Linked DNA regions of Arabidopsis thaliana. The protein of the gene in region 1 interacts with the protein of each later gene in a pairwise test. Each region holds a gene or a part of one and is shown in the gene's direction. Other genes may lie near its edges.

Evidence for each region.
Region 2: the proteins of AT3G29000 (region 1) and DEG15 interact in a two-hybrid assay, tested with the Arabidopsis thaliana proteins (one study listed by BioGRID).

What each region holds. Positions count from the first base shown.
Region 1 is NC_003074.8:11,003,778-11,007,247, forward strand, and holds AT3G29000 (Calcium-binding EF-hand family protein), read left to right. Parts: upstream 1-1,860; 5' UTR 1,861-2,013; coding exon 2,014-2,598; 3' UTR 2,599-2,737; downstream 2,738-3,470. Other genes in the region: AT3G29010 (Biotin/lipoate A/B protein ligase family), read left to right, coding at 3,168-3,346, 3,429-3,470. UniProt on the Arabidopsis thaliana protein: Potential calcium sensor.
Region 2 is NC_003070.9:9,919,468-9,926,346, reverse strand, and holds DEG15 (protease-like protein), read left to right. Parts: upstream 1-1,858; 5' UTR 1,859-1,999; coding exon 2,000-2,065; intron 2,066-2,178; coding exon 2,179-2,225; intron 2,226-2,317; coding exon 2,318-2,501; intron 2,502-2,596; coding exon 2,597-2,644; intron 2,645-2,733; coding exon 2,734-2,793; intron 2,794-2,987; coding exon 2,988-3,116; intron 3,117-3,266; coding exon 3,267-3,377; intron 3,378-3,461; coding exon 3,462-3,565; intron 3,566-3,681; coding exon 3,682-3,767; intron 3,768-3,858; coding exon 3,859-3,953; intron 3,954-4,038; coding exon 4,039-4,705; intron 4,706-4,902; coding exon 4,903-5,095; intron 5,096-5,235; coding exon 5,236-5,327; intron 5,328-5,426; coding exon 5,427-5,674; 3' UTR 5,675-6,128; downstream 6,129-6,879.

The sequences.
Region 1 (3,470 bases):
TTTTTTTGAGTACATAAATGTAATTTCTAATTACTGTGTAAGCAACATTGTTTTTCTGCAACCACTACTTCCGCATACCAAAAAGCATTCAACATAAAAGGTTTCCATGAAAACTAATATAGGCTGTGGTAATGATTTAAACATCCAAAAGGATTCAGAAAAGAAAACAACAATAAGGATGAAAGCTTAACGAAATTTGCTTCAAAATACTTAAATAAATATCTTTGGGTCGACTGTGTAAGCAGCATTAAGAATGGGTTTACCCATAATTTGTCCAGATAAAATCGTCACTCTAATGTCAAATCTCTATAATAGAACCCATCTAAAACTCTTCTATTGAGTTGTTTGATTTTTCAACCCATTGTTTACAATCTCATGTAATTTATTTTACCACTTTGTGTAGGTTTGTTTAACTAAGTTCTTTACATGCATCTATCATCAAAACGTGCTGGTACATAGCTAACCAATCCATATATTTATGCTTAATTTCTGTTAGTTTTTAATAGTTAGTTATCCGGTAATTTAGTGTGAATGTTTTTAATTGCTACTATAAAATATGTTACATCAATTATTCTAAAATATAGCTTCTTTTTCTTTTTTTTTTAATATAAAACTTCATTGATCGATCCCTAACTATTGATGGTACTCTTCGTCTCGTTGTCACTTTTCGGATCAATCGATCTACGACTACTGGTCACCAACACATTTTGATCTACAAACTCCTGATCGATCGTTTTAGGCCAAACAAGTCCAATAACGCATCAAAACATCCAAATCTCTCACAAACACCTAGTATATGTAATAGACTCAAATTAAAACAAGAGAAAAAAAAACGTAAAAAAAACTGCAATACGACAAATGATTCAAACGAAAACTAAACGAAAGACTTAAGACACCAAAAAACAAAACATATTAGAACTATTCAAAAGAAAATACTTTAATAAATCATAAAATTTCAGAACTGGAACAACCAAAACCGAACCAAAATTTAAAAAAAAATCTAATAGCTGGAACCGAATGAAACCGAATCAGAACCGATAGCAATACTCGAACGCCCAGCCATACTTTTTGTATAAGAACTCAGATAAATGATGGATTTAAAGCATTCTAAGTTTTAAGAAAAAAAATGATGGTTATAACAATATTGACATATAAAAAAAAAAAAACGCCAGCCGTCAATTAGAGTTTTGAAATCGCAATAATAATGTTATGCATGAATAGGAATTAGGTTCACATTCTTTTTGTATTTGATCTGTTAATATCATGGCCGATATAGATTGAACATTTTATCTAAAATACTATTATATTTGACCATGAAATCATGTTGTTCATTACCACTACAACGTTTACAACCATATTTTCACTAATCACTAGTTGAATTCATATATCTAATTTGAGAAACAAAATATTTCAAAAATAAAATAATTTTATAGATGATCCACTTATGTATTTTCAATTTGTCTATGTATTTTAACTAAACTAATTAAATCAGTATAATAAGCATACATTTAATTTCATGCAACCCGCGATTTCTAACCTAGTTATCATCTAACTACGTTCATAAGCCCAGTCAAATTAGGATTGAAATAAATGTACAAAAAGTCAAAAAGTCTTCAGTCAATTCAAAGTCTTGGTCTCTCAAGTTTTCCATTTAATAAATAAGATATTTGAATTCGAAATAACAAAAGTCTATATTATTTAACACAATAATATATCCAACCAATGAAGACATACAAAATATCTTAGTTATTAATAACTAAATAAATAAAAAACACGTCAAGCCGACCAAACTTTCCTCCAAATAAGACCAAAAAAACTCTTAACAATTCCAACAACGTTAAGAAGAAACTAAAGAAACTTCCTATTTCCAATTTCTTTTCAAACAAGGACTCTGTCTTTTGTCTCTACTTGCCCTACCACTTTCCTTGCACCAACACTTGAAAATCTCAAATCTTGTATATATATCAACAAACAAACACAAATTCTATATATCATTCATAACAAAACATAACCATGGAGTCGAAATCTTCTTCTTCTTCTCTACCTTTGTTTGCTCTGTTCAATTTTTTCCTCATAAGTTTTTGCAGATGGGTTTCTTCTACACGTATCTTTTTATCAAGATTCGTCCCTCTTCTTCAACATCATCAACGCGTTTTCGACAAAAAGAACAACAAAGACCAACAAGAGACTTTGACCAAACAAGAAGATGATGATGATGATGATGATGATGATGATGATGATGATGATGATGATATTGATATTTCTAGAGAAGAGGCAGAGATGGTTATGAGAAGCTTAGGGCTTTTTTACAACGATGATCAGCTTCAAGAACAATACAGTGCAAAAGAAGTCTCGAGTTTGTTCGAAGAGAAAGAAGCGAGTTTGGAAGAAGTCAAACAAGCTTTTGATGTGTTTGACGAAAACAAAGATGGTTTCATTGATGCTATAGAGTTACAGAGAGTTTTGACAATCTTAGGGTTTAAACAAGGATCTTACTTAGACAATTGTTTGGTAATGATTAGGTCATTAGATGGGAACAAAGATGGAAAAATCGATTTTAACGAGTTTGTTAAATTCATGGAGACTAGCTTTTATTGAACCAAAAAGTTTTGTAATGACATTCATTCTTTAATCTAATGTTAATACTTCATTAAACCATGTCTCTTTGTGGTATTTAATCGAACACTTTCCATGCACAAAGTGTTTTCGTGTGTTTAAGATAAAAACTAATCAGATAATTAATTCTCTAATCATATATGCTTGATTCCTAAACTGGGTATCAATCTATTCATAAATCTAATAACTATCGATCTTTATAAAACACATTCTCTTTGTGGCATTACATCGAACACCTTGCGCGCATAAGGGTTTTTTCGAGAAACCGATAAAGCTTCTGGTCAAGCTAGAGGCTTTCACAGCTGTAATACAGAATTCTCCAGTTCCATTGAAGTCGGAGATCGTACCGTCACCGGAATCTGATTTCAGGTAAGCTTCTCTTCTTATTGGAATCGAGATTTGATAACACAAATCCGACCAAAGATTCGAAATTTCGAGATTTGTCTGGTTTTAGTGTCCAGGGTCTTTGTGGGTTTTTGAAGAACGAGATTAAAGTTTGGTTATTTGTAGAAATTGAAAAGTCTCTGTTTTGATGAAGGGCTCAGGTTAAGATGAGTTTAAGTAGAGCAAAGGATTTGAGACTTCCGTTGATGAATTTGGTTAGACTTAAAGGTACACCAATTTTGGAGCAACTTCATTTAGAAGAAAGGCTTCTTAGAACATCTTCTGATAATTGGTGCATTGTTAATGATGGAACCAATGTTCCTACCATTGTGATGGGAATGTCAGGGTAAAGAATGAATCATCTTTTCATCAATTCTATTCGAAATCGTTTGCGCAAAATGTTAACTTTTGTGTGTTGTTGTTTATAGGAAGCCTTCTCAGCTTCTTGAGGTTGGACCAGTTATGGAAGA
Region 2 (6,879 bases), on another chromosome or scaffold:
TCCCAATTAATGTTATTACGTGTTTCGTTTTGCACCATATATTTTTTTAAAATATGTTAAAATAGCATATCAAATTTTTTACTTAATAATATTTAAGATGTGTTTGAATAGCTAATATATGGTATAAAAATATACAAAAAAACGAATCATTGCATGCATAGCCTACCCTGAAATTTGGGGCCTAAATACGTTTTAAGAGTTTTATAGAAAGTTATAAAATTGGAGGCCTTTTTACAAAAGTAAAATAAAATTGGGGACATATTTTATAAACAAAAAACGTCAGAAATTTTGGATCAATTATGGGATCGGCACAATTAAGTGATGGACATTATAAGATAAAGGCTTTTTTAATAGCTTATGGGATTGAGTACTTATACTGAATTCTCAAGACTGTTTTACCCTCTTCTTCAGAAAAGCTAAAACAAGATCCTTCAAACCAATTAAACAATAAGACATCATGTCTTTTTTTTTTTTTGAACAAAGAGATCATGTCTCTCATATACACTAACAAAAGGAAATCCAAAACCCAGAATTCGAAACATACACAACCAATGAAGAAGAACAACCCGTGATTGTTATCGTTCAAAGAACGCCATAAACATTTCAATCTATCATTTTTTTTCTTTTTTCCCCAAAACCAGGCCAAAGGTTTCATGAATTTGATTTCCAAACTCCAATTTGAGATTTGAAAGTTGCAGTTTGAAGGCCAAATCGACCCGCCTTTGAAATTGATTTCCCCTTTCAAGATCATGTGTTACGAACCGCGACGACGATGGTAAGCTTCATCGACACTAACAATTAGATTCGGTTTCGAATTATAGATGAATTAAAGATTAATTGATTCGATCTGCATCTAAAATTAGAATATTTGGGTTCCCTAAATGTTATCCTCTTAGGGTTTAGATTCCTTGCATTAACAATCGTTTAATTAGTTCCATAGAGTTCATCAGAGGAGGTTGATGAAAGAATTGTATTGTGAGTCGTCGGAAGTGAAGGAAACGATATTGATGGAGTTGAAAGTGGTGATTTTGAAGGAGTGTGGAGTTTAAAAACAGAAGAAGACAAAGTGATATTTCATCAACAAATTGAGGAGAAGATTGTCATTTCACAAACAAAAAAAATTCCCTTTTTATAAGCCCAACTAAAATGTGTCTATTTTAGAGTTTCTGGCCCAAAATATGCTTATATCTATAAAAGCCCCCAAAAATTTTAGGGGCCATAACAAATGCTTCATCTGGTTATGCTCATGACCGGTCCTGTTTACATGCTATGTAATATATGAACTAGTGTGCACGTTGACGGACTTCCCTAAGTATCGATACACTTTTTCCAAGTCATACATAATAGAGAACACTGGAAAACAAGTTAGCTCATACAACAAACCGAAGTTTGTAAGTATTTCATGATAAGTTTACCATAATTTTTCTCCGACGATCTAAGCTCTATCTTCTTTTTGGGATGGGCGATCGAACCTCGGTGGCTAATACTACTCGAATCCAGGTGGTGGAGACTTTTCTCTCTTGTACTACCGGACTTGGTTTCAAAGAGTTTTTTTTTTTTTCAAACATGTACTGATATAAAGTTTCTCAAAAACCAATATTAGATTAAGAAAATTTATTCATGTAGCTTACAAGAGAAAAAAAATATACTGCAAAAATATGAAACACTAATCAAAACAAAAGGTATAATAATTGTAGTTGAACTGAAATATTTTTAATAGTGGTAACCAAACGAGTTCTGAAAGAAATTGAAGACCGAACCATATCACATTATCACCTAATTACCGTTTGGTTCGGAGAACCGAACCGAACCCACCCGAAGACTTCAATTGCCCAATCCTAGCCAAACCGTAGCCGCCATTTCCGTGAATGTTGTGATTAGCTTATTATTATCTTCGTTGCCCAAAAACTTAAAAGATCCAAACTTCGAACAATTTTGGTGTCTGCTATACAGAATCCAAATCCACCTTCTCCGATTAAAAATCCCTTCTCTTTCGATCATGGATGTGTCTAAAGTTGTCAGCTTTTCCCGGAATTTCGCCGTCTTGGTCAAAGTCGAAGGCCCTGTAAGCCCTGATCTCTCTTTACCCAATTCTTGTTTTGAGATTCTATCCATAAATTTATCTACTTTACACATGATCGAGTACAAAGTGTTAATCATACTTGGTTTCAATTTTAGGATCCAAAGGGATTGAAGATGAGGAAGCATGCTTTTCATCAATACCAGTGAGCACAAGATGACTTTTTTTACATGTATTATATGCTTTAGTTTTGTTTCTATCATGGAACTTAATGTGGCTGTAATTTTGTTATTGAAGTTCTGGCAATGCAACACTTTCAGCTTCTGGGATCTTGCTTCCAAGAGATATTTTTTTGAGTGGTGAGGTCGCTGCTAAGGTTCTGTTTGAAGCTGGTCAGGACATGGCCCTGGTTTTGACCGTTGCATCTGTTGTTGAGCCATTCTTAACATTAGGTCACAGAACTAGTAGTAGTATCTCTCAGGTTAGATACACATGCTCCACTTCAATATCAATGATACATGTTTTTGCTTGATGTGCTACTTCTTCAATCTTGATGTCTGTTTTTTTTTTGTAAAGGATCCGGTGAAGCTTATTCCGGGTGCTATGATTGAGATTATGGTGGAGGTATACAGATAGTGTTTATGAATAGTTTATGTTGAATGGTAAGTTGTTTGGAGTTTTTAAGGTGTGATCTAGATGCGTATTCTTTTCAGGGTCAGCTAAAGTCAGAAAAGGAAGCTCCTTTTTGGGTTCCTGCGCAACTTCTTTCGCTGGTACGGATGCAATTCCTCTTCTTTCTTGCTATTAGAAGTGACTGTTGATACCTCCCTGTGGTGATGATTTATGAAGCCACTAAATTGAGTTTACAAGATGTGTGATATGCACTTCTTATGGCATATGTTGTAGCTCCCTTTTTATGGCATATAAAATTCTGTTCGCTGCTGATTTTTAACTAATATGTTACAAGGTTGATGTCCCTGTATCTTCTGCTGCACTTCAATCTCTTATTGAAGCTTCTTCTGGTTCGAAAGATTCTGGATGGGATATTGGTTGGTCTTTGGTTTCTGCTGCTAATGGTTCTCAGCCTTCAATCAATGTAAGTCAAATGCAAACCTGTAATACTCTTTGATGGTCTTTGGTTTGAACTCCTACCTGAAATTGCTTGAGTAGTTGATGCGTGTTTGTATTTCCTTCTTTGAAATGAAAGATATCTGTCTATTTCTGAGATTAAGTATCATTTTTCTAGATTGAACATTACAGCAAGCCCTTGATGCAACTTGATGAGCCACACAACGCTAACTTCATGGCCAAGTCTGCCACTCGAATGGCTATTCTAGGAGTCCCCTTAAGTTTACTGGTAAATATTTCCCTGATTTTCCTCCCCGTTTCCTTCTTTCTGATTTATGGTTCATCTTTGTGACGCAAATATTTTGTAAATCAGGGTCAACCAAGCATGAATTTTGCTTCATCAAGTAGCAAGGGTGATACACTTGTAGCACTAGGCTCTCCCTTTGGAATCCTTTCACCTGTTAACTTTTTTAACAGGTGAATTATGGCTACACTAGCGTTACTGTATTTTAATCGACTAGAGGTCATCATGATTTCCTTTCTCTTGATAGTGTCAGCATTTAACTCCGGGAATCTAAACTGGTTTGAAACAGCGTATCAACTGGTTCCATTGCGAATAGCTATCCTTCTGGATCCCTAAAGAAGTCACTGATGATAGCTGATGTTCGATGTCTCCCTGGTATGTACGATTATCAATAGTTCTTATATATGCTCTATTTGTTTCATCTTAAGAGCTAAAACATGTTCCGTTCCGGTTCAATTTCTTTCAGGAATGGAAGGGGCTCCGGTGTTTGCTAAGAATGGGCACTTAATTGGCATTTTGATTAGACCACTAAGGCAAAAGAATAGCGGCGTTGAAATTCAGGTTTGTCAACGGCAGCCTCATTTCCTTTATGTCCATTGAAGTTTTATTGTAATGTTTCATGCAAAACTGTAGCCTTCGGTAGCAGCTGGTGGTTCCATGGGGAGCAATCACAACTGCTTGCAGCCACTTGCTGCTTGAGGAACCATCTGTAGAAGGAAAAGCAAGTCAGTGGGGGAGCGAAGTCCTAAGTGTTAAATCAGATGCTAGTATTCCTGCACAAGTGGCTATTGAGAAGGCGATGGAATCAGTTTGTCTTATTACGGTCAATGATGGTGTTTGGGCTTCTGGTATTATTCTTAACGAACATGGTCTCATACTAACAAATGCTCACCTGCTTGAGCCGTGGAGGTATGGAAAAGGTGGTGTATATGGTGAAGGATTTAAACCCTATGTCTTAGGAGCCGAGGAATTTTCTTCCACGGGAAGTAAATTTTGGGAACAGAAGAGTCAAACATTGCCACGGAAAGCTCCACGAAATCATTATTCGTCTGTTGGAGAGAACATCAGGGAATACAAACACAATTTCCTTCAGACTGGGCATAGAGACATACGTGTGCGTTTGTGTCACCTAGATTCTTGGACTTGGTGTCCTGCAAACGTGGTCTATATTTGCAAGGAACAATTAGATATTGCCTTACTGCAGCTAGAATATGTCCCTGGAAAGCTCCAACCTATTACTGCCAATTTTTCTTCTCCTCCTTTGGGTACAACAGCGCATGTTGTTGGACATGGACTCTTCGGACCAAGATGTGGTAAAGACTCCGTTAATCCTAGAATTGTCTTGTTGAATCAGATTTTTGCTCAATTCTTGCTTATGTTGTGCTTCCATAATCTTGCATAGATTTCTTTGCACACCCTGAAATTACATTCTCTTGTGCCTTACATGTGCCAAGTGTCCTTAAATGGAAGAAATAAATGATCCTCTCTATTCTTCTGTGTTTGTTATTAGGGCTTTCTCCTTCTATTTGTTCTGGAGTTGTAGCAAAGGTAGTTCACGCAAAGAGGAGATTGAATACGCAATCCATTTCTCAAGAAGTCGCAGAGTTCCCCGCTATGCTCGAAACAACAGCTGCTGTGCATCCTGGTGGCAGTGGTGGTGCTGTTCTCAATTCAAGTGGCCATATGATTGGACTTGTTACCAGGTAACCGAAAATCATTCTCAAATACAATACGTAGGTCTTTTAGATCCATTGATGAGATGTGTCATTAGAAACGGACAGTTCTTCTTTAATCATGATGATATGTAGTTGATTGTTCATTGCTATGTTTTCTGTATCTGCAGCAACGCAAGACATGGAGCGGGGACTGTTATACCGCATCTCAACTTCAGCATCCCATGTGCAGTCTTGGCACCAATCTTCAAGTTTGCAGAAGGTTTGTCTAATCTTGTTGGTTTGTTTCACTTATGGAAGCAGAATAGAGAGTAGATGTGTCAAAAAGTGTTTGCTTATTATTGTTCCCGTCTTAAAACAGATATGCAGAACACAACGATCCTTCAAACACTTGATCAACCTAGCGAAGAACTCTCATCCATTTGGGCTTTGATGCCATCACTATCACCAAAGACTGAGCAGTCTCTACCCAATCTGCCTAAGTTACTCAAAGATGGTAATAACAAACAAACGAAAGGATCTCAGTTTGCCAAGTTCATTGCAGAGACCCAAGACATGTTTGTAAAGCCGACCAAGCTTTCCCGTGATGTGATCCCTAGCAAGTTATGACAAGATTGGCTTCTTTGCAGAATTTGTGCCTTCTTTTACTCCTTTTGCTGGAGTGGCAACTTTAACTTTTGTATAGATAGAGAAATTACAAAATGTTGCTGCTGTTTCTGGATTATTCTGTTTGTAACATATATAAAACCTTATAATACGTTTTGGCAACTCTGTTTATCAGTCTTCAAACTGTGGTTCTGTTTTTCTTTGGTAGCCTTTTTACCTCTCGTCTCCTCATATGAGAGCAGCTAGTGTTTCTACACATTATATGTCGTCCATTGTTCATGCCATATCTCAGTGATTGCAGGCAAATACCAAGCACTAATACCTTATGGAGTAACATGTTCGTAGATCATACAAATTTTCATGATATACGAATTTTACTGGCTTTTTTTTGTGATAGTCCACATTCTTGTATACGTATTTTGTTTTGAAGATATTGCGTTGTTTGAATATATTTGGGCAACTTCGTGTTATTTGAAACTATGTATAAAAAGTTTCGTCACTTTTTTTGTATATATTAAAGATAATATCCTTGCTAGTTTAATCTGATAACCTTATGTAAAACTATTCTCAACAACATCATTCTCTTCTTTGTCTTGTATTCGCAAGGTCTTGGATAAAAACAAAACAAAACATTCTTTTTCTTTTTTTGGTATAATAACTGGATATGCTTACTTTAATATTGATTGTGATGCAAAGGAATCGAAATCAACTGCCAATCAAACTGTGAGAACACTATCGACCAAAACAACAAAATATGAAAAGAAAAACACATTAACCTTCTTTGGCAAAAGCAAGTATTTCCAAGAAAAAGAGTAATCTGGAGAAGGCAAAGTAACATCGAAATTCGAGAAAATAGAACGAAATTCAGAGGAACAAACAAAAAAAACAAATTAACAATAATCTGACAAAAATGAAATAAAGAAGAGAATTTTTACAGTAATTAATTAGAGAATAGAACTTTAGGGGAGAAGAGAAAATCCCTTGGAGTTATACAAAATTCGTTAGTTTCCCTATGCTAATGCTTTTGCTTTTCTTTCTCCCAATCTGCCTCCCACATGCATCATCGTAACTATATATTGACACATACGTACATAAATATATATATGCCCTAATTAAAAGTATTTGTGTACACTCTCTTTTTTTTTGTGTGGATAAAGTGTAGACTCTTTTTAGAAAAATGAGTAATGACTTATCTAAGAAGTTCTTTG